Linked DNA regions of Oryzias latipes. The protein of the gene in region 2 interacts with the protein of the main gene of each other region in a biochemical or structural test. Links are inferred from orthologs where the notes say so. Each region holds a gene or a part of one and is shown on either strand. Other genes may lie near its edges. The genes, in order: cbx5 and lbr.

Region 1 (11,183 bases), on a different chromosome or scaffold from region 2:
CCCTTTCTCACCCAAGCTGCACAGTGGCTCCCCCAACGCTCATTAGGTGTAATGTGCAGCATAAAGACCCACCTCTGCTGTGCGTAATACCCCAAGGAACTAATTTGTACAAGAAGGTACAGGTAAAGGGGAATTTTCTTTTCTGACTTTTGATTGTTGCAAATAACTAAATACATTTACAGCAACACATAATCACCACTGAGACAACTATTTCCAACACAAGTGTCTAAGAAAATAACCAGTGAAACCGCAATGCAATGAATCGACTCTGTTCTGAAAAGCCAACACCTCCCAGGTAAACGTGCCACCAACTGCTCCCAGTTGATTCTTCCCAGGTACAGCACATTCCTCTCTATCTGCACAAACCACATTTTCTTCAGAGCTTTAACCCCAGTGATGCTTCGCTCTGTATTCCCACAGATAACATACCAGGAATGAGTCTACATCTGTGCTTGCCACACATGGCTTTGGCTGAGCTCCAATGAGCACCGCAGTGGTTTCCCATCCAAACCCACTGGCCTGCGTTTGTCAGTGGAGAGCTCCAGGCTGGATACAACAGCTCGCTGCTCCCCTCCTTTCACCCAGCTTAATGGTCCCAGGGGCTGGATATTTACTACTGACCTTTGCATTCCATTTGCAGAGTAAAAGCTCTTTTGTGAGGAAAATTCCATCATTTTCAACGTAACCCAGCAGCACTTTGCAGATGTGTGTGTGTATGTGTGTCAAGCAGAGGGTCTAAAAGGCACCACCAAAGCGAAAAAAATCAAAGACAAAAAAAGACTCAAAACATATTATTTTAAGAGCATTTTTATTATTATTTTAAACATGACTGGAATTCACTTTACGGGGAAGTTAGTCATTAAGGATTGCCATTTTCTAATTTTAAAAATCTAAAGTGGATTTTGTACTATTTCTATAATGTGCATTAAATCAATGGCAAAACCTTAGCTGTCCAATTTGACATGTTTCCTCACTGATTCCTTTGCCGCCTTAGAAGAAAGGCTGCCTTTCAGTGTTAAGTTGTACATGTTTTACAGGGTGTGCGCCGTGTTTGCATGCAACATGTGAATGTCAGAACACAAAATGTGCCCATAAAAAGTTTCACAGAAAAATTGTACACATTTTGCACACAATGATTCTACTGGAACCTGAAGAAAAAAAAAAACACTTTTGCGTTGGAATTGGTTAATACTGCCCTCTGCTGACAAACGGCAGTAAATAGGTTTTTGATGTGTGATTCTAAAATTGCATTAAATCTATAAAGTATATATATATATTTTTGTCAGTTTGCAGGGTAATGTTATGAAAAATGTAATTTATACTGTAAAACGAAGTGAACACATGAAGACCTTGAAACACTCAAAATGTTTATTAAAGGATGCTACTATACATGTATACTTGGAACATTTCTCTCACACAATAAACTACTGACTTTAAAAAATGTATATTGTCAAAAGGTAAATAAAACCCATATTTACATTAAAAAATGTGCTGGCAAGGAAATGTATGGGTAGTATCAAAAGGAAGATGACAGCATTTCTTATCAGTTAAAAACAAGCAGTCTGTGAATCTGCAGACATTTGGTCCAATGCTTCTCTGCAGGCTGCAAAACCAGTTTCAATCTTCAACAACAAACCATGTATTTATCAGGGTTAGTCACCTTAAAATTCAAACTAATGAACAGGTGATAAGGAGCTATTCAAACAATATTTTTTGTAATTCATTAAAACTACTGAAGCTTTTTAGCAGGGGGAGCATGGAAAAAGAAATGCAAATAAATAAATCTAGTCTTTATTGTTGACCACAGTATTAATTTCAGTTATCAAAGTGGCAGCTAAGTTTCTCCTTTGAATGCTAGCTGAATTTTATTTTGAAAGGGCGCAAGATCACACAATTCATGCAAATTAAAAGTAAAAAAAAAAAAAATCATTCAAACAATGATTGGGATATGATTAAAAGTACAGAATGGAGAAAAAAATGTCTTTATTGTATTTTTTCTTCTTCTGGCAACACTGTCAAAAAAAACAGAAAGAAAAAAACCGCAAAACAATCATTTGACGAAACAGCACAAATTAAAACCAATATACATCACTACACAGACGTGCACCTACATGACTAAACAGGTGCACCAGTCTTCTCAACTGCAGGCCAATCCAGCTGCCATGTCATTAATTCAGCTTTCACAATTATCATAGTTTTTACATTTAAATTTCATGAAGGTGATCATGTCCCTTTTGAAGCATGTTATGGTGATGGATGTCAAAACATGAAACAGATGAATGCTTCAGGAAGATGAATGATCAATGGAATCCTGAACATCAGATCAACATCTACTCATTGGGACAAATATTTAGGATTTTTTTCTTACCTTAATCTGAAACAAAAATATTAAACTACAACAAAGAGAATTGATGGCAGAGTAGACGTCATGATCAAATGATCGCACATGTTTGAGCGTTTGGTGAGAGTGGCCCTGTTAAAAATTACCGGTTACAAATATTAAAAAAAAAAAAAAAAATAGAAACAGTGGGGAAAACGATTATTAAACACGTTTAAAAATGAATCAGGTGTGATATCTGCTGCCTAAAGGGGTAAAAAAAGAAAGATAAGTGAATAGCTTCAACATTTTCCTGTCAAAGAAAAGATGTGCACTGTTTACAACACAATGATGGGGATCGGGAATTCCCCCCTAAACCGTCAAATCTGGTACTTGGGTCTGGATTTGCAACTTTAACAGATGGCCACCAGTAATAGTTTCTCCAGATTTCTTCCTAGTAACATTTTTATGCAAGCACTTTAAAAAACAGGGAAAAGATAAAGACAAAAATGTTAAGATATTACAAAAAAAAAAAAAATCAATACAAAAACAGTAGAAACATTGCCCAGTAGCATATCACCCAGGTCCACTAACAAACAGCTTTCTATTTGATGGATCCTTTACAGAGTCTGGGCCCTTGTGCTCAATGAGGCATGAGTGGAGAAAACAACAAAAGGGATGCACTGTTTTTGTTTCACTGTTGGACAAAGTGAGGGATGGAAGTTTGGGAGAAGGAAAACAAAAAGTCCAACAGAATGTTTTCCCTGCAGTGGAGGTTTCCTCCAGAGGTGTTGCACTCAAGCACTGACAGCATCCTTCTCCTTCTTGTCACCGTCTTCGTGCCAGGTGAGGCGCTCCTCGTAGAAGGCTATGACGATTTGTGGACACTTATGATTGGCCTCCTTGGCAAGAACAAGATCCGCCTCGTCTGAATCTTTCCTAAAAGAGGGTAAAGCTTGAAATATTTTTGCACCACACTTCACTAACTTAAGTCCAAATAAGGCATTGTGGGATTTCATAAACAAGCTGTAGGCGGTTGCACTCTATCCTAGTCTCTGTGAAATGGCATTTCACTGTTATATTTCTAAGAGGTTCATTTACACTGCAATTTAACCATGTATTGAGACAGCATCAAGTGTTCTATCATAAAACCAAATAAAATGGGTAAGTTGGCAAGACAAACTTTTCATCTGGTGCAACAAAGGTATAGTCAGACTTCATCACAGGTGTTTTTATTTGTTCTTTCGCTCTAGGATTAAAACTGATCACAGAGAATTTTCTATAAATCATAGCAAATGAGAACAATTCTAAATTCATGATTATTTTTATGGATTTGTAAATTTATTCAAAGTAAAAGTATCAAGTCTGCAACTCAAATATGAGTCCAGAACCAGGCATGAGTGATGGTGCACTGCGTATATCCATCTAGGTAATAAGAGATAACATTAATTTTATGGTTTGGCTTCCTGTTCATCTATGGACAGACAGCCCGGTTACTGAAGTTTCTAATGGGTGATTTGCCCAGTTAACCGACACAGTCAAAAGCCTTTTTTTTTTAAGAGTCATTCCCTTCCATGTTGCAGTCAACAGTAAAACAGTCTGTGGTGATTGCACCTAGCGGAGCAGCAATTTCACACCAGATCATCATAATCATCATCATCCCAACAACAAAACTTACCATTTCATGAGGAACATTAAGTCTCCGCATGAATCAGTGGCTCCAATGATTTTCTCTGGCTCAAGTCCTCTTTCAAAGCCACGGGCTACTAGAATTTCCTCCTGTAAGAAACAAAGAAAAAAAGTTCAAACCTGAGGAAATGTTTAAAACTGTTTGTTTTTGTCTTTTGATTCTGTGCTTTAACCTCATATTTACACTTTACTGCTCTACTGGACAAATGCCGTCAGATATTTTATTGAAATTCCTTCTGTGTATAAACAGATTAATACTTTGCTTGTTTTTGCGGTAATCATTTTCAATATGTCTTATTGGTTTATGTATTATAAACAATTTTTTAATCCATGTCTAATTGATTTTAGTTTCTTTTAGCCCCCCAAATATTACTTTTATTGGATTGTATGTAGAATTGTGCTGAAAAGGCTGATTATTTGTACAAGGTGCAAAATGACAGAAGTAAAGCACTGAACACATACAGACAGATTGAGCATGTTGACATGCACATCAACTAGTTGATCGCCTGACTTATTGACCTTTTGTAATTTTCAGGACGCCACAAAAACAGGATGCGAGATCAAGACATGTGGATTTCTCAATGGTGAAGTGTACTGGCACATATCAACAATTGTATCTTCTAAAAATAAATAATTATATGTCTAAAACGTGTGTTTCAAACTTAAAGGCCACGGGCCGCATGCAGCCCGGCATGCAATTATATTCGGTTAGCATGATCGTTTTATATTATTGGTAATTACGGCATGGCGATATGAAGCGCTGGTAAAATTCAACTACAGATCCCACAATGCAGCGCTTCAGCTGCCTTGCCGAACACTTCCCACGTCAATGAAGTCTAGTTTATGATGCTGCAAGTGATAGTGAAGCTGGCCCTCTGTCGGTGCAAAAGTGAAAAGTTAATCCTGGAAATGGGCTTTTCAAACTGATGGGAGGCAGAATATGTTTACTGACATTGTTGATAAATTTATGCGTCTCATTTGTGGAGCTAATGTGGCTGTATTCAAGGAATTTAATCTTTAGACAGCACTATGAGGCAAAACATCAAATCCGTACTTTGCTGATAAACTGAGCGCATCAAGTTCGACCGGCCCTTTGGTGATTATGAATAACAAAAATGAATTTTTGAGTTGCTTCACAAACCATTTGCCGTCTATGTTGAAACTGCCCCTGTACAGATTCAGATGGAGCAGAGTGAGCTGCAGAGTGAAAGCACACTGAAGGCAAAGTACGACACTGCAGGACCTGCACAGGTTATGAACGCCATTCCTGCAGAAAAGCAGTTTCACCCTTGTGCGTGTTTGGTAGCACCTTTCTGTGTGAGAAGCTCTTCTCAGTGATGAAGACTAATAAAACAGCACGCAGATGATGTCTCACAGATGAGCAAAATGTAAGTTTTTTATAAAGTCATTCAATAGTAAAGAAAACTGAATGTTTTTTTTTCTTTTAACATTTACTGTTAAAAGAAATATATTTGTCATATTTATGTTGAAAAGAAGTTTTAAAAGTTTATAAAGTACAGTGTTATTGTCAGCGACCTAAAGTGGGTTTTGGATTTTTGCCCATCCTGTGCCATCAAGTTTGACATCCCTGGTCTAAAAGAAACTAGGGAAACGAAAGATAAAGAATTGACATGTACTGTTGTAAATATCTCTCCCTTGCTTATTAACATTTCGTTATTTAAATGTAGATCTGGAAAAAATAAAATAGATAAATTCTAAGAACCTTGCATAAAGTACAGTAACATCCTAACAAACAAACTAAACTTTATTATAAAGGGGAAAAACAACAAAAACTCATTTTTCCTCATTTATCTTGACAGCCTAGAAAACAGTGAATCCAAACATTGCATATACATAAATCTCACCTCTTTCTTCTTTTTAGGTTTACTTCCACCCTCTTCGTCTTCCTCCTCCTCATCATCTGAACCTTTTTTCTTTAAGCTCCCGGATTCTTTGGAGCGACCCGATGATCCTGTGTTGACTTTGCTGGAACCAGTGCTAGGTGTGGCACTCCCACTGCCTGGTTTTTTGTAGGTTTTCATGAATTCTGCAATAAGCTCAGGGCAATCCAAGTTCTTCTCCGGCTCCCAGGTGTTGTGCTTCCTGTAAAGGAAAACCATCCAAGTAACTCAAGACAGTTGCATAATCACAATAGTAACAAACAAAGAGAAAACACACCCAAAATAAAAACATTAAAACCGCGGTGCACACAGCTACATAACCCTTAACATTACATTGCACGTCTTTATGCGGTTTAAGTAATATTGTATTATTGCAATTACAATAGAATTGCTAACAGATTGGCGTTTTTTGTTTTTTACTTACTCTGAGTATCCTTTCCACTTTAGGAAGAATTCAACTCTGCCTTTCACGACTCTCCTGTCCAGCACCTTTTCCACGACATATTCTTCTTCGTCAGACGATGAGGATTTCTCTTCGCGAGACTTCTTGCCCATTGCAAAGTTTGGTATTTATAGCACGCTGTCACACACACAGGCCGTTAGCACTTCCTTGATCCAAAAGAAGAGAAGCCAAAGTTTAAATAACAACCGATCATCTTGGCACAGTATTTCCAGATGCGTTAATACGCACAGATCAGACGTAAATAGATAATTAAAAAAAGGATATACTTTGAATCAGAAAAGAAGATATGATAATATACGCGTTAGCATTTGATCGACGCTAACACAGAAATTGTCGTGCATAACACACTCGAGCATAACAGCAACTAAATTATTATACGAATAAAAATCACATCTGCAAGTATTTCACATAACACTTGTTCTTTTAACGAAGATAGCCCTAAGATTACAACAGGTAAGAAAACAAAACAAGCATGGGGCACGACGAACTGAGCTCTGCTAACGGTACTAGAAGCTAGACAAGATAGCATGTAAGCGAACCCCAAGCTAACTTGCCACTTTTACAGTTCAAATCACGAATCGTTATTTAAAGTAAAAACACAATATCGATAAATTAACAGTGCGATTACTTTAGGATGATCGGGCCGTCAGTTTTAGTGCGTTTTTTGCAGCGTTATCTTGCGTCTTTTGTGCAGCAGCTATCAGTCTACCAGTCTACCGGAGCTACGTTAGCATGTAGCTTAAATCACATAAAGGTGCTGAGCGGAAAAAGCGCGCGTTAAAAGCACACAATGAATGAACCCGCCTCCCGGTCAGCTGATAACCAAGAAACCAGGCAGGTTAGCAGCAAGGGTCTCAATCCATGGTATTTACTTACTGTAATAGTAATGTGTAAAATTATATGTTTTGTTATTAGACGTTTAATGTACGCTGACAAAGAAACATAATGCCTTACATATAAACAAAGCTCCAAACTATTAATTAAATAGCTAAAAATGTAATAACAAAAGTGTGTGTTGTGTCCTTTAAAATTTGTGTAATTCTTTCTTTATACTTTTTATTTTGTTTAGATAAAAAAAGTAGCTGTACGACCATTCAAAACTAATCTAGTTTAATGTTATGATGGTGATCCAAATTGATGCGGTTTATTGGCCCCAATCTATCATTTCATTTTTATTCAGATAAAATGTCACTATGTCTGCGAAAGCATCCTGTTTTCTCCCATTCCTCCTCCGTTTTTACACACTGCATTATCCTGCTCGGGGATTGGATTAATTGAATGATTGATAGGACGTAAGCCAATCAAAACTCACCTTTCTCTGAGGAAATACTACAGCGGGAACAACTGACCAATGACTGTGTAAAAAGGGGGCGTTCCTTTCCCCATTTTATCCTAGCGTTTGACTGCTGCCTGATCTTGTCTGGCGCAGATCGCTGCGTGGTTGTTGTGTCACTAGGAGTTTCCGACAAAATACAGCAAGATGTCGAAAGATGTAAGTCTTTGTATTCTGAACGATTCAAATTATTTAGCTGGTCCAGTTTCGTCAAATGGCTTCAATGGTTTAGATTTGGGCACGTTGTCTCGGTCGAAACAGCCCGTCTTCGCTGCAGAAGCTTTCTTTTCCTTATGCCGCCATTTTGTAACAACTGGGCCTCGTGGCCTATTGTTGGTTACAGGTAAACGAAATGAATCGAATGATATTAATATGAGTCACTGGTTATCGTTATTTCGATTAACCGCAATATTAACAACCTTAGGCGAACATATTTTTGCAAAAAGTCGAACAATCTGCAATCGTTGATCGCTAATGGCGGCGATGTCTGCACCACCCAACCCTCCTGCTGTTGTTGTTTTTGACGCTGGATATGTTCTGGAAATAGAGACGAAAGTCAATGAGTGGACTTTCGTTTTCAAAAATGTGTTTTTAACTCATAGTGTTTGAACTTGCGGCAACCTCTTGTTGACGTCTTCATCTATTGTTTAGGTCCCACGTGAGCCAGAGCAGCTTCGCAAGCTCTTCATTGGAGGCCTGAGCTTTGAGACAACAGACGAGAGCCTCAGAGCTCACTTTGAGCAATGGGGTACCCTGACAGACTGTGTTGTGAGTCATTTTCACAAGATGTGATTGCTATCATCCAAATTGAATTGGCTTTAAAGTATTTCATTTTTAGGTGATGAGGGATCCAAACAGCAAGAGATCCCGGGGTTTTGGCTTTGTGACCTACTCCTCTGTCCAAGAAGTTGATGCAGCCATGTCCGCCCGTCCACACAAGGTTGACGGACGGGTGGTGGAACCCAAACGAGCAGTTTCTAGAGAGGTATATTATATGACTAGACGTAAATCTGATTTCTTGTTCAAAGTATAACAAATGTTTTGGTGTGCAGGATTCAAATCGTCCAGGCGCTCATATTACAGTGAAAAAGATCTTTGTTGGAGGGATCAAAGAAGACACAGAAGAGTCCCACCTGAGGGATTACTTCCAACAGTTTGGCAAAATTGAAGTCATTGATATCATGACTGATCGGAACACTGGAAAGAAGAGGGGCTTTGCCTTTGTCACCTTCGACGATCACGATTCTGTTGACAGGATTGTCAGTGAGTACTAGTGGTATCTGATCTAGAATGGGAAAGCCCTGTAAGATTTTCATAAAAATTGAAACATGCCTTTTTATTCATAGTCCAGAAATACCACACAATCAATTCCCACAACTGTGAGGTGAGGAAAGCCCTGACCAAACAGGAAATGCAGACTGCTGGAATGGGAATGAGAGGTGGCCGCAGCAGTGGGAGTGGAAGACCCTATGACTACGACAGAGGCTTTAACCAAGGTAATGTGGGTTGTAGTATTTTTTTTTTAAATCATTGGGTCTGTAAGACAGCCATAACAAGTTTTGGGTTTTCTTCTTATTTTAAGGTGGACGGGGCAGATATGGAGATGGTCCTTACAACGGCAACGGAGGCGATGGCGGTAAGTGCAGCATACTAGATAAATTGTTTTTTTATTTTTAATTTACGAACATCTGAAGACTTAAGGTTGTTTGATGCAGGTTATGGAGGTGGGCCCGGTGGTCCTGGGGGCTATAACAGTGGCAACCGTGGGTACAACCAGGGCTACAACCAAGGTGGTGGAGGATATGGTGGAAATGGTTATGATAGCAATGGTTATGGTGAGCAACAACAACCCCGTCCCTCCACCCCCCCCTTTTTTAGGATGAGGTTGTCACTAATCATTTTTATCTACCATTTTCAAGGAAACTGTGGCAGTGGCAATAACTACAACAACATGGGTCACTATGACCCGCAGGCTTCCAACTTTGGTCCAATGAAGAACAACTTTGGTGGTGGTGGTGGAGGAGGAGGCAGAAACTTCGGTGGGTATTTGGATTTGGTGAAAACACACCAACACAGAAGTATTTTAACCCTCACCTTGTGTGTTGATTGTTTTTCTGTCTTCCAGGTGGATATGGCGGTGGATCAAACAATGGCGGTGGCTATGGCCGTCCTGGACGATTTTAAGTTTCTAAGGGGTAAGCTTCTGTAGACATAAACTTGCTGTTACATGTCGTAAAACCAGAGTTTATCATTTTAGGGAATGATTAAGTGTAGCTAACTTTAAACGAATTCACTCTGGATGTCAGGACTTATGAAGACAGTGCACAGTTAACAATGTTGTTCCATATTGTTCAACAGGACTGAGTACTTAGGAGAGGAGAGCAAGGAGAGGAGAGCAAGCGAAGTGACAGGGCAGCTGCAGGTTTACCTCCTAAATCTGCTCAGCCAAACAGTTGTGGCAGGTTACAGCTGCTACAAGAAGAGATGTACAGTAGATAAATCATGGAGGGCCTTCATTTAAAATTTGTCTTCTGTTTTTCTTTCATCATATGTGTTTTTTTTGGAAAGCAAGCATTCCAATGAGGGTTTTATGTTTATCTTTAAGTCTGGTTTTTATTTGTAACTGCATCAACTCAATCTGAAATAAACCACCTTTCAGTTTTTTATAAAGTCTCGTTAGCCTCTTTAGTGGTCTGGGTGAAGGGAGGGTTGACACTTAAACGGGGAAAAGGGCCACTTTTTGTCAAGCTCTGGAAAAGGCAATTTCCCAGTGGTGCGCAAATGTTATCTTCAAAAAGGCCGTGACTTGGCTCAGACAACTTCGAATTCTGCAAAGATCATCTCGAGGAGGCTAGCTTACATGCAAAGTCTATGAGGCTAGCCATGGAAGCAAGCTAAGGGAGAGAAGTAGCAAAGCCATCGCCAGGATCATTGAAGCAGGGGAGAGTGAGAGCAGAAGCCTGAGGCTAGCAGGCAGCAGCTACCAAAAGGCTTAAATGCTGTCTGTAGGTAAGACCAGACTTTCAACTACTGATGGTGTTTTCTCTTTTTGCCTTTTAAGCTGGTAGTGAGTTTTGTAGCCCAGTAATGACATGGCTAAAAAAAATACCACTTGATCAAAAATTGATCTCTTGCAGTGCAAAGAGGTCCACTGTAATTTGCATGCAGTCAATACAGGTTACCTTTGAGCAATGCCTTATACTTTTATTTTGTTTTGCATTTCAGGTGATTTCCAGCGGTATCCAGCACTACAAAAACATCATTTCTGTGAGAATGGCCCAGGTACAAGAAAGTGAATCTGCTGGTTGGTTTGTGGCAATATTTATTGAACAAAGATTATTTTCTTCCACAGGTTAGCTGAACTGTCGTGCTAACGCTGAAGTATTCTTTTTAAATTTTTTTTTACAGTGCTTAAAACTGCTGTGCAGTTTGATTTTTACTTTTTTATTCTTTTTTTAAATAAAATATTTTATCAACACT
Region 2 (10,744 bases):
TTTATTTTTTCATATCTCAGTTTTAAAATATTTATTTTGTGAATATTTATGTTGAAAAGATAAGTGTAATTATTTAGAAACTAATTTTATGTAGGTGTGAAGTCCTTTCCTATTTTTTGTGTTCATTTAATATTTTTCAGTGACGTCCTTCTTTCTGAATCCATCCGACCTCTTCGTCCTATTTTAGCTCGCGGACGGGATGCGGGGGGAGGGAGGTGATGAGGTTAACACTTTTTCGCTTAAACCCTTTTGACTGACGGTAAATTGACACCAGTAAACAAGGCGCTTGCTGCTCCTAAACAACCAATCACTGTATGATGACGTTTTGCCATCAACCAATGAGAGCAAAGATCCGTTAAAATTGAATGCTCGGCCGCCCAATCGGAGGGCTTCGCGCCTTCTTGTCAGTAGTGGGTTTTACCCAGAGAGGGAGGGAGATCGAGCTCTACGTCAAATCTTTGAAACTGTTCTTTTAACACATTCAAAGCCAGTTTATTTTTATTTTGTAATCCTCCGCGGGATTTGTTTTGAATTTAACTTTTTGGAATTAATCCAGGAAAACAGGTGAGAACATGTTCCCGCCGCTGAACCGCTACACCGGCTTCGTTGTTGGCAAATCAAGGCTTAGCCGAAGCTAGCTTATCAACAGCGCTGTGGCATGCGTCTAGTTCCTGAAAACATAGATGGTTTCAAGTTGAGATCAAAGTAAAATAGGGATGTGGGTTCGCTTCCCAGACGTTAGGTTACCGCGTTTATTCATCCTGGATGTTTCCGGAGAGTTGTAGACACTTTAATCTGAACCGTAAACAGCCTGATCTGCTTTCATATGTGCAACTGAAGGCGAGCCAGAGTTTAGACGGCGCCTGTAACTGAAATATCCAGAAATGTAGAACATGGAGGGTTCTACTGTCCAGAAACAGGTTTATTCGTTGTTTTCACGCGTTCTCTGAAGGGTTGACGTCTCGGTGGTGTCGTGCGCGCGCGTGTAGTTTGTTCGGCGGCCGGTTTGGTTTGTTGTCGGTTTGAACGCATGACGTTTTCCCTCCTTTCCGTCCTGCTGCATCAGGACGGATGAAGGTTCAGTTAAAGAAACACGCAGAGCTTTTGGCGCTCACGATCTGCAACCTGCTGTCAGAAACCTCACAATCCAAATGGACCAAATGAACCTGTTGACTCGTTCAAATGTGAAATCCTTGTAGCGCCTTGTTGTTGGTTTGAACTGTTGGGATGTAATTTAATTACACGCACATTTTTTGGCTTATGGATTGCAGTAAAAAATATGTCTTTAAGGGTTGAGGTCGGCTGATCTCCCGTAGCACCTCAGATTTTCCGTGAACCGGCGCCGTTAAGCGTGCGGGGTCCGGTGTGACAGACAGAGCGCGCGCTCTCTTTGGGTGTGTCCGTTGCATCTCGAGGAGCTACCGGTGACTTAGAACCGGATCTTTGTTTTGAATGGTCCGTTTTTGGTGTCTTTCAGTGTAAAGCTTTTATTCTGAAATGCGGAGGTTTAGCGTAGAACTTTATTTTGAAGGTCGGTTGAGTCGACATGGGATTGTGGAAGGTAAATGTTTTGCACCGTGTGTGTTTTCTGTTTCAGAATTGTCACTGTCCCCCTTTGTGTGACGCGGGACAGACCCGTCAGCAGTTTTTTTTTTGTTGCTTTTTTTGGGGGGGGGGGGGGGGGGGGGGGGGGGGGGGGATAATGCTGAAACAGCTGTGCCCCCCCCCCCCCATTGTTTTTTGGACGTTCCCCTTTAGTTTGGACTTCTAAAGCTGGAGGTAGCTTAGACAGGAACTCTCTGGACATTTGCTTGTGGTGGTTTTGGGAATGAGGTGAATCAGACAGACGTCTCAGGCAGCGTCTGAGGATGTTTCTGTTTATCATAAACTAGCAGCTTCTTTTACGGATTCCATCTGTTTTTGCTCCTGAAGCTCAGCAGGAACCTTAAGCTGCTCAGCCTGAACCTTTTTAAATGTCCAGCTTCCAAACGCGTTCCAGTCCCCACGTGGTGTTTCTGCAGTGTCTGGTCCATGTGGCTGCAGTCTCCTGTCAGGCCTCTTTCCTCTGCTTCCCCTCACGCCCCTCACTCTTGTTAGGATGCCCACTGCCAGGTTCCAGGAAGGGGACAAAGTGATGGGCCGCTGGCCCGGTAGCTCGCTGTACTACGAGGTTCAAGTGCTGAGCTTTGACGCCGCCAGCCGGCTGTACACTGTCATCTACAAGGACAAGACGGAGCTGGAGCTCAAGGAGCAGGACGTCATGGTGGGAGTTTGTGCTCAGCATGTTTATGGGAATTTTTCAGTCATCTCCTCACCTGACGCCCTTGTTTCTTTTAGAATATCTCGTCTTTCCAGAACCGCACTCGCTCCCGTTCTCGGTCGCCGGGACGCCGTCGCAGCCGCTCGCGCTCTCCTGCGAGGACCACTCGCCGTTCATCCTCTCGTTCAGCGGTAGCAGAGAAGCCCCCCCCCTCTGACAGGGATGCAAAGGTGAAAGACGGCATGGAGGGCAGCCTCAGCCCGCCGGTAAGTTCTCTGGTCGGGGACTTTGGGTTTGAAAGCTAAAGATGGTGAGAGAGAAAAAACGGAGAATCTGATTTTATTGTTTCTTTTCTCTCATGTGGGACCCAAACCCGTTTTGTGGTCAGATTGTTTTTCTGAGATTCAGCTGTTCCTTCTGCAGCTCGGGGCAGAAACCAGAAATACAGAGGTCAGATGGTCTGAAACGTGCGCCCCCCCCCCCAACCATACACCTGTGTCGCTCTATTCCATTGTAACAAACATTTTAGCTAGGATTGAATTCTGAAGGAAGTTTTATTTTGAAACTCTCAGGTTCTGTCCTCCATGTCTGTAACTATCCTCATGCGTGTGGAGACGTTTTCCGTCGTCGCGTGTTTAGTTCTTTTCCATGACTTTAAAGCGGAAACCCTTAACAGAAACCTCTAAGCTATCAAAGCCAACCAAACACAAATGTGAAAAAACGGACGACAATGAAAAGAAACCAGTTTAATTCCACGTTCCAAACCTGTTCTGCCTAGCATACGACAACGTATCCAGCGTTACAAGGACGTGCTAATAAAGTTGCCAACACAGAGGATTACTGCAATTATATTTAAGAAGTATCTTTCTTTCTACTGTATTTATCTGCCAAACCTTAAAAGTCAGTTTGTAAAAATACTGTCCAATAGGCCTGCACAATACCGCAAATTTATCGTTATCGCAACATCAAGCTGTGCAATATGCATACCGCAAAAGACGGCGAAAATCGCAATAAATGGTTAGCTTAAATGTGCTAAAACAAACTCACGGCAGCTTGAAGTATTTAATGAATCAAATAAATCCATTTATGCGTTTAACCAATCGGAAGGACCCGTTAACGTTGTTGATCAATCAGATGAGCCCTTTTATGTTTGATGTTTGCCTCCTATGTCGACAAGGGTCATTTGGAGTATAACTTTTAAACTGTTGCAGTGAAATGGAAATGATGTTTTTGGTTGTTTTGCTATTTGTTTATATACCGCAAATTATATCGTTATCGCAATATTAATCACTAATATCGCATATCGCGAGTTTTCCTCATATCGTGCAGCCCTAGTGTCTAACAATCCGGATGTTCACCTATCTTGGTTCCACAGCCTCTCCTGTTGCAGAACCGTCCTCCAATGTTTTCCCAACATTTAACCTCTGCTTTGCTTTACAGCAGCTAAACAAAGGAGACCAGAACAGCAACAAGACACAGGACAAAGACAACAACGCCGACAGCAAGGTAAGGCATCCGCATGGAACCGGGCGTCTGTACGGAATAAATTTAAAGAACCTTTTGAAGAAGCAGCAGGGATCACCGTAGAACAGTGGAACTCTGACAGGAACAGCAAAGAATACATAGAACGTAAACATTTTCCTTCTATAACCCCCCACACACAGTACCTGGCTGTGGTCATGTGATTCAGACCCGAGCAGCTGTTTGATGGCACAGAAGGGTCAAAGGTCGTCCTGTTTTCGCCCCACGTGTCCTGCAGCGTCCTGTTTCTCTGTCCTTGCTTCAGAGGGCAGAGGCGGAGCCTGACAGGAGCCAAAGCCGTTATAACCTGCGCCGCAGGAGGGAGGACGCAGCCCCCGAGGCCAGACTTCAACAGCCGCAGGAGAAAAGGTCTGAGGAGGGTCCTGCAGCTCCGGTTCCCGTCCCGCCGGACTACCGAGGAAAGATGGGTGAGGGACCTTCTGGGTAGCGCTCTGTGAGGGGAAACGGATGAACTTTGTGTCACATGACTCCTGGTTTCAGATGTGCACATCAACCAGCCTCCATGGGGGGGGTTAAAACTCAACTTTCAGCTGTAAAGAAAGTCACGTCTTCATGGGGGGGGTGGACCTGACTTGGCTGTCCTCCCTCATCCAGGTTCCGTGTTCTGGCTGCTGTTCCTGCCTGTTTGGGTTCTGTTTGTCCTCCTTCAAGCTGGACTGAAGGACCCCAGCCTGACTAACTTCCCCCCGCCTCTGCCCCCCCTGGAGAGCTTGTGGGACCCGCAGGCTGTGGGCTTGGTCTTCCTGTGGATCTTGTTCCAGGCTCTGCTCTACGTTTTACCTGTTGGAAAGGTGAGCAGTGGTTCCAGTATCCGTGTCAGGACGTTTGTCCAGCGGCTTCCAGACACGATCAGGCCGAGTGGAGCCGATGTTCTGAAGAATCTGCAGGAACAAATGTTTGACTTTTCTGAGGTGGTTCTGAGTCCCGCAGACACGGAGCTGCACAGATCCTGACTCTGCACCCAAACATCTGGTTGTCATAGTAACAGACATCTAGTCTTCTTTTCAATTCAATTCTACTTTATGAATCCCACAAGGGGAGGTGAAGTTCCAGTTAGGGTTGTGCCGATGGACGATATCATCGTCCATCGTGATGGATGACTGACATCCCGATGGAGAGACCACCATCGTGATGCCACGCCCCCGCCACGTTGCGTGTCGACATCATAAGCCGCGGTTACATGTACAAAATATCTTGATGGGATCAATGGTCGGATTAGAATCCAACCGTGTACATGGGCCCAGAAAAATGTTTTCAGAATATAACAAACGTTCACTAAGGTCACAATTTCGGTCGGAATAAATCATTCGCACATGCGCAGTTTGAAAACCGGAAGGGGATACAACTTCCGCCGAGCGGCTTTTTTTCCAAACTTTATTGTATGTAACAATTCAATACAAAACGATAACAGCACCGAGCGGTTATATACATCGACATGTCAGCTCGGTAAAATACGAGACGATCTTCTAAACGTGCTTTTAATAATGTTACGGTTATTATGAAACACCTGTTCGCTCATCATTTGAATTTTAATCCGTGTGGTCAGAGCTTATTCTGAACGGAGCCAGGATTAGCAGTATGCTAACACGGGCTAACAACATTAGCTTTGGGTGGTGCTGCTTGCTGGCTGCACGTAAACATGTAAGAATAACATCAGCCTTTATTTAGTCGGGACACGACTGGAAACACAAATCGGCGTGATTGTTTGAATGTTTTCTAAGGACTGAGCGACATTTCTGCTTTGATGCTCAAACCGCTGTGTGTCTGCTGACGATCCGAGCTGTGCTCAGACACACTTTTAGACCCGGTTCTGAGTTCGGTTGCTTGTACCCCTAGAGCTGCGGGACGGATCGCAGTCTTAAATCTCCCACACTCCATATATTTTGGGACTGTGTGATTATCAAGAAGTATTGGTCTGACATACATGAACATCTGCAAAATGTGTTTTCTATTGTTTTCCCCTTGTCTTTTGAAAGTCTGTTTTTGAGTAAAATTGATGGCCTAGACAACAAAAATAAGAAACTACTCTACATTCTCATGACAGCCAGTAAGAAAGCAATAACCAGAAAATGGCTTAAACCTGAACAACCAACGACAGAGGACTGGATTGATGTGGTACAAAGAATTTACATAATGGAAAGAATCTCACACTCTTTACAAATACGGCTGGATGCTTTTTACGCTACTTCAATTCAATTCAATTCAATTTATTTGTATAGCCCAAAATCACAACAACAGTCGTCTCGATGGGCTTCGAAGTAAAACATGAAATCAAAAGGATCACGAATACAAAGAGTTCAATAGAAAAATACTCAAATGAACTAACAAACTGACTAAGCTATACTGGCATCCCTGCCCTTAGACCCCCTACTTGGTCTATATGGACAGAATATAAGTCGGTAAGATCAGATTTCATCTGAAATCATGTCATATCATTTATGTTTTGAAACTCCCTGCTTCCTCACATGTTCCTTTTTTATTTATTATTATTTTGTTTTTTTTGTTTTTCAATTAAAAAACTGAGAAAGCATGAACATTGTGACACGTCAAAACAATGTACAATTTATCCTGTGCTTTTTCAATAAAAAATAAATTTGAAAAAAAAAAAAATCTCCCACACATACCGCTCATGTACCCCCCCCCCCCCCCCCTTCCCATCAAACACAAAGCTTTAAGTCTGCGCTCCGCCGGTCCACTTCACTAATTAAGTGCGGGAGCGACTACACTAATTTTCTATCTTGCTTGTTACTTTTTCTGTTAAAGTCACTTCCCTCAGTTTATACTGGATCATCGCGGATTAGTCATTAGTTGGGAAATAAAATGAAAAAAGCAAAATAACGAATAGCAGTTATATAAGAACGAAAAATGTAAAAATACCCCCCCCCCCCCCCCCCCCCCCACGATGTCATCGTCCATCCCGATGGTTGACAGCAAACATCGTCAACGGCCAAATTAGGGGACATCGCCCAACCCTAGTTCCAGTCCATCTCCAACATTTCCAGAAGTTGACTGAGGTCTTGCAGCTGGACGCAGGCCATATGCCTGAGCCCAGCGCAACCTGCAACGCTACCAAAAAAAGGGTAGCAGCTGTTTTTGTTTTTTGTTTTCATCTTGACGTTCATTCAACCAGGAAGTTTATTTTTCTATATCCACATGATTTCCTCTGTGGTGTCAGCAGTTGAAGAAATTCTGGGATGTCCTTTAGAGTTTGTAGATCAGCTGATGTTGGTGTGAAAACGGAATGACAACAGTGAAAGAACTGCACGCTTTACTGGAGGCTTTTCAGACAGAACCGCTTCAGTGCCTCATTTTCCTCACATTTGGATCATTAGACAGAATCTTTAGAACTTTTTCTAACTTTGTCCAGGGCATTCAGGCCAATCCTGATGTGATGTTTGTTTCTGTGTCCGCTTGAGTTCCTCATCAAAGTTCTTGAGTTTTTTGGTTTCCCCCGATCTGGCCCCAGGCCCCACCCCACCCTCCCACGACTTCCTGTTTTACCTCGTCTCACCTGACTCGGGGTGTTGCCTCGGTTCTCTGGTTCCGTGAGTGGTTGATGGGTTCGAATCGGTTTGGGACCATAGAGGATGTGAAACTTTACCAGCGTTTTCTCCGGTTTGTGTCTCTGCAGCTGAGTGAAGGCGTGCCGCTGCGGTCCGGACAGAGGCTGAAGTACAGAACCAACGGTACGTCTGACGGCAGCGACTGCAGTTTATGGGGCGGGGCCAGCTGTCATGAACGTTTTCAGACGGACAACGATGGCAGAGGTCCAGACGGGGTGGTTTGTCGGTTCTGTATCAGAACCTCCTGGCGCATCAGAACCTCCTGGCGCATCAGAACCTCCTGGCGCATCAGAACCTCCTGGTGCATCAGAACCTCCATGTATGGTCCCGTCTCCCTGAGCAGTGAATGATTCTGTGTCCTGCAGGCTTCTTCGCCACCGCCGCCTCAGCTGCAGCGGTGGCGGCAGCAGTGTACCTGGGCGCTGACCTCACCTACATCCACAGCCACTTTCTGCAGCTGGCCGCCGCCTCCTTCCTGTTGTCCGTGCTGCTGGGCCTCTTCCTGTACGTGCGTTCTGGCCATGCTGCCCCTGAGGAGCTGGCGGTGGGGGGAAACTCAGGTGAGTGAGCTTTGGCTCGGTGAGAAGATGATGATCTGGACGTGGGGGTTAGGGGTCAAGGCCCTCGCCGAACACTCGGTGCTGAGGAAATCTGATGGTACGATGGGTTGGAGTTCGTGAAGATTGATTTGTTTGACCGTCTGCATACTGCAGTGATGAAAGTCTTCCGGGAATTCCCGGAAATCCGGGTTTTTGAGCAAACCGAACGTACTTTCCGGGAAATAAAGACCTGATCTCTACGGACAAATCGCTTTCCGGATTAGAAAATGGTCTGAAATCAGCTAATTTTAGCTTTATTTTCTATATTTCTCCGCAGATCGCTTCCTCTATGGTCGTGGCCATCTTTCGTCTTCCCGGCCTAATTGACCAATGACGGGACGTTTTAGTTGCTTTCGGATGCGTCGACGGGTCTGATTGGCTCTGTCTGCACCACGTGGTCAGCGTGACTTGCTTCCCTAGAGACCAAAACTGGCGGACCCACGCTAAACTTTCACAAACACATCTGAAGAGTTTGCGATCAAATTTGTGTTAAAATAATGGCAGGCATCGTCATTATTGAGCGTGGTCACGACCTCAGTTGTGAGAAGACGATAAAAAACAAATTGAAGTGGTCTTGGCTGGAAAAAAAAGATTTTTAAGGTAGTGTAGGTCAAATACTTTTTTGTGTAAAATAATCTCAAAACCACATTTTGAAATAATTTCAATTTTAGTTTTGAGTTTCAGTTTTTATTTTGAATACATTTCTCTATCTAATTTATTTGTATTTCCTAATTACCATGATTTAGTTCAGTATAGTTAACATTAATTATAAGTATTTGATGGTTTGGACCCGCACTCCCTTAAAAAATAATGTTTACAATGTTTAGTTTAGTTTGTATGTTTGTTTTGATATTTCCCAGATTACTTAGTATTGGTGTTAAAGAATTGATGTATTATGTTATAGAATTATAGTTTAAAGCAGATCCCATATTTTGATGTAATTATAGTTTGAGAAAACAGTGCAAGTGGATGTTGTACATCAGTCATTTCTAAAGCAGAAATAATGTATAAATAACTGAGGTATTTTCATAGAATATCATAGTTACTGGTGTTCTTTTTGCCATTTGGGGCTTTGATGTTACTATATTTTAGCAATTGTATGTTTTGCAGCTTTAAGGAAAAGCGTAGATTGTAGGATTGTGTTACTTTGAGCAATTTTCCAAATTCTTTTTTAGGACCAGCAAGTCCTTAATGGAGAGTCAAACTAGGGGTTTGAATGACAAATCATGATGCTCCAATTAGTCTTAGTTTCTTGATAAAGAAGTGAATAACTAGCTGCCAGAATGCACCAGAATGCATCTAAGACCACGTATTTTTCCAAAATTTCGCTCTGTGCCCGCCATATCGCTCAAAGAAAAGTTCAGGGATTTTTTCCTTGCCTGACTTTCATCACTGATACTGGAGTGCGTGCAGAAACAGAAGCACGTGATCTGGACGCTGGATAGTCACTGCGGTCCGCTCTCATGTCAATAGAGACTGTAGGTGATGACGGCGTCTGCAAAGGCTGAATCTGTCCCCGCAGAACGCCGTTCTCCATTACAGTTTCATACATGTACTCTCACGTGTCATCTGTCTGTTTACATACAGTGGTGGACAAATAGTTGGTCCCCCTCAGTTGAAGATAGAAAGTCCACAATGTTCACTGAAATGACGTGAAACATTCCAAAGTAACAATAAATTAAAATTTATTGAAAATTAAATAATCAAAATTAGCCATTACTTTTGAGTTGTTGATTAACAGAATTATTTAAAACAAACAAACAAATGAAATAGGGCTGGACAAAAACGATGGTACCCATAGCTTTATATTTTGTTGCACAACCTTTTAAGAGATGTGATGAGATAAGATAAAACTTGTCATTGTACAGTCACACTTGGTACAACAGTACAATGAAATTGCAAACGGTCCCACATAGGTGCAAAGAAAGAGAAGAAAACAACATAAAAAAATTGCAACAATTATCTTACATACAAATAAAACTATCTATCATGTAACTGATCATTTTCTTGTATCATTTAACATCTCCATCACTTTATCTGTCACTAAACCCTCCCGCCTCATCTCTTTTCATAATGTCAAAAACATCAATGTGAACGCACTTTCCTCACTCATACGTGATATTCCAATCCCTAACACACCAAACCCTGATGAACTCGTCTCCTCTTACAACAACCTTCTTTCTGATTCTCTTAACCAGCTCGCCCTGTCTCCTTCTCCAAATCTGCCCCCTGGTTCACCCCAGAGCTCCGTCACATGAAAGCCAAAGGTCGCCAGCTAGAGCGACTCTATAAAAGAACTGGCTTAACTGTTCACAAAGAAATCTATAAATCACATCTCACACAGTATAAGGACCTGGTTTCTACCACAAAAACAAACTATTTTTCTGAACTCGTCTCCACAAACAAAGGCAACTCAAAAACTCTCTTTTCCCTGATGAACACTATCTTCAACCCCCCTGACTCTCTCCCTCCCCATTTCTTTTCCACTGAAACCTGTAACTCCCTCATGTCATTTTTTGACCAGAAAATTCATGTCATCCACCAACAGCTTAGCTCTTCTCTCTTCCCTCCCATCCCTGACTCTTTTCCCCTCAATCATATGTTTTCCTCCTTTCAACTGCCTGCCTGACCACGAGGACATTTCCTCTGTCATCCTTAAATCCAAACCGACCACCTGTTCTCTTGATCCCCTCCCAACATCTTTAGTTATAGCCTGCCTCCCATCTCTCCTTCCGCTCATTACTGCCATTATTCACTGGTCACTCTCATCTGGTACTGTC

The links.
Region 1: the proteins of lbr (region 2) and cbx5 form a complex in vitro, tested with the Homo sapiens proteins (2 studies listed by BioGRID, with this or other methods). The link is inferred for Oryzias latipes from reciprocal best matches to the Homo sapiens genes LBR and CBX5.

Annotation. Positions count from the first base shown.
Region 1 is NC_019865.2:12,830,685-12,841,867, forward strand, and holds cbx5 (chromobox protein homolog 5), read right to left. Parts: upstream 7,561-11,183; 5' UTR 6,999-7,560; intron 6,517-6,998; 5' UTR 6,463-6,516; coding exon 6,332-6,462; intron 6,110-6,331; coding exon 5,872-6,109; intron 4,097-5,871; coding exon 3,996-4,096; intron 3,257-3,995; coding exon 3,115-3,256; 3' UTR 1,347-3,114; downstream 1-1,346. Other genes in the region: heterogeneous nuclear ribonucleoprotein A1, read left to right, coding at 7,851-7,862, 8,355-8,471, 8,542-8,688, 8,756-8,966, 9,050-9,199, 9,286-9,339, 9,419-9,538, 9,623-9,742 and 1 more. UniProt on the Homo sapiens protein: Component of heterochromatin that recognizes and binds histone H3 tails methylated at 'Lys-9' (H3K9me), leading to epigenetic repression. In contrast, it is excluded from chromatin when 'Tyr-41' of histone H3 is phosphorylated (H3Y41ph).
Region 2 is NC_019882.2:330,027-340,770, reverse strand, and holds the start of lbr (lamin-B receptor), read left to right. Parts: upstream 1-102; 5' UTR 103-564; intron 565-2,097; 5' UTR 2,098-2,098; coding exon 2,099-2,263; intron 2,264-2,337; coding exon 2,338-2,526; intron 2,527-3,700; coding exon 3,701-3,766; intron 3,767-4,019; coding exon 4,020-4,209; intron 4,210-4,396; coding exon 4,397-4,593; intron 4,594-7,433; coding exon 7,434-7,488; intron 7,489-7,730; coding exon 7,731-7,925; intron 7,926-10,744. UniProt on the Homo sapiens protein: Catalyzes the reduction of the C14-unsaturated bond of lanosterol, as part of the metabolic pathway leading to cholesterol biosynthesis.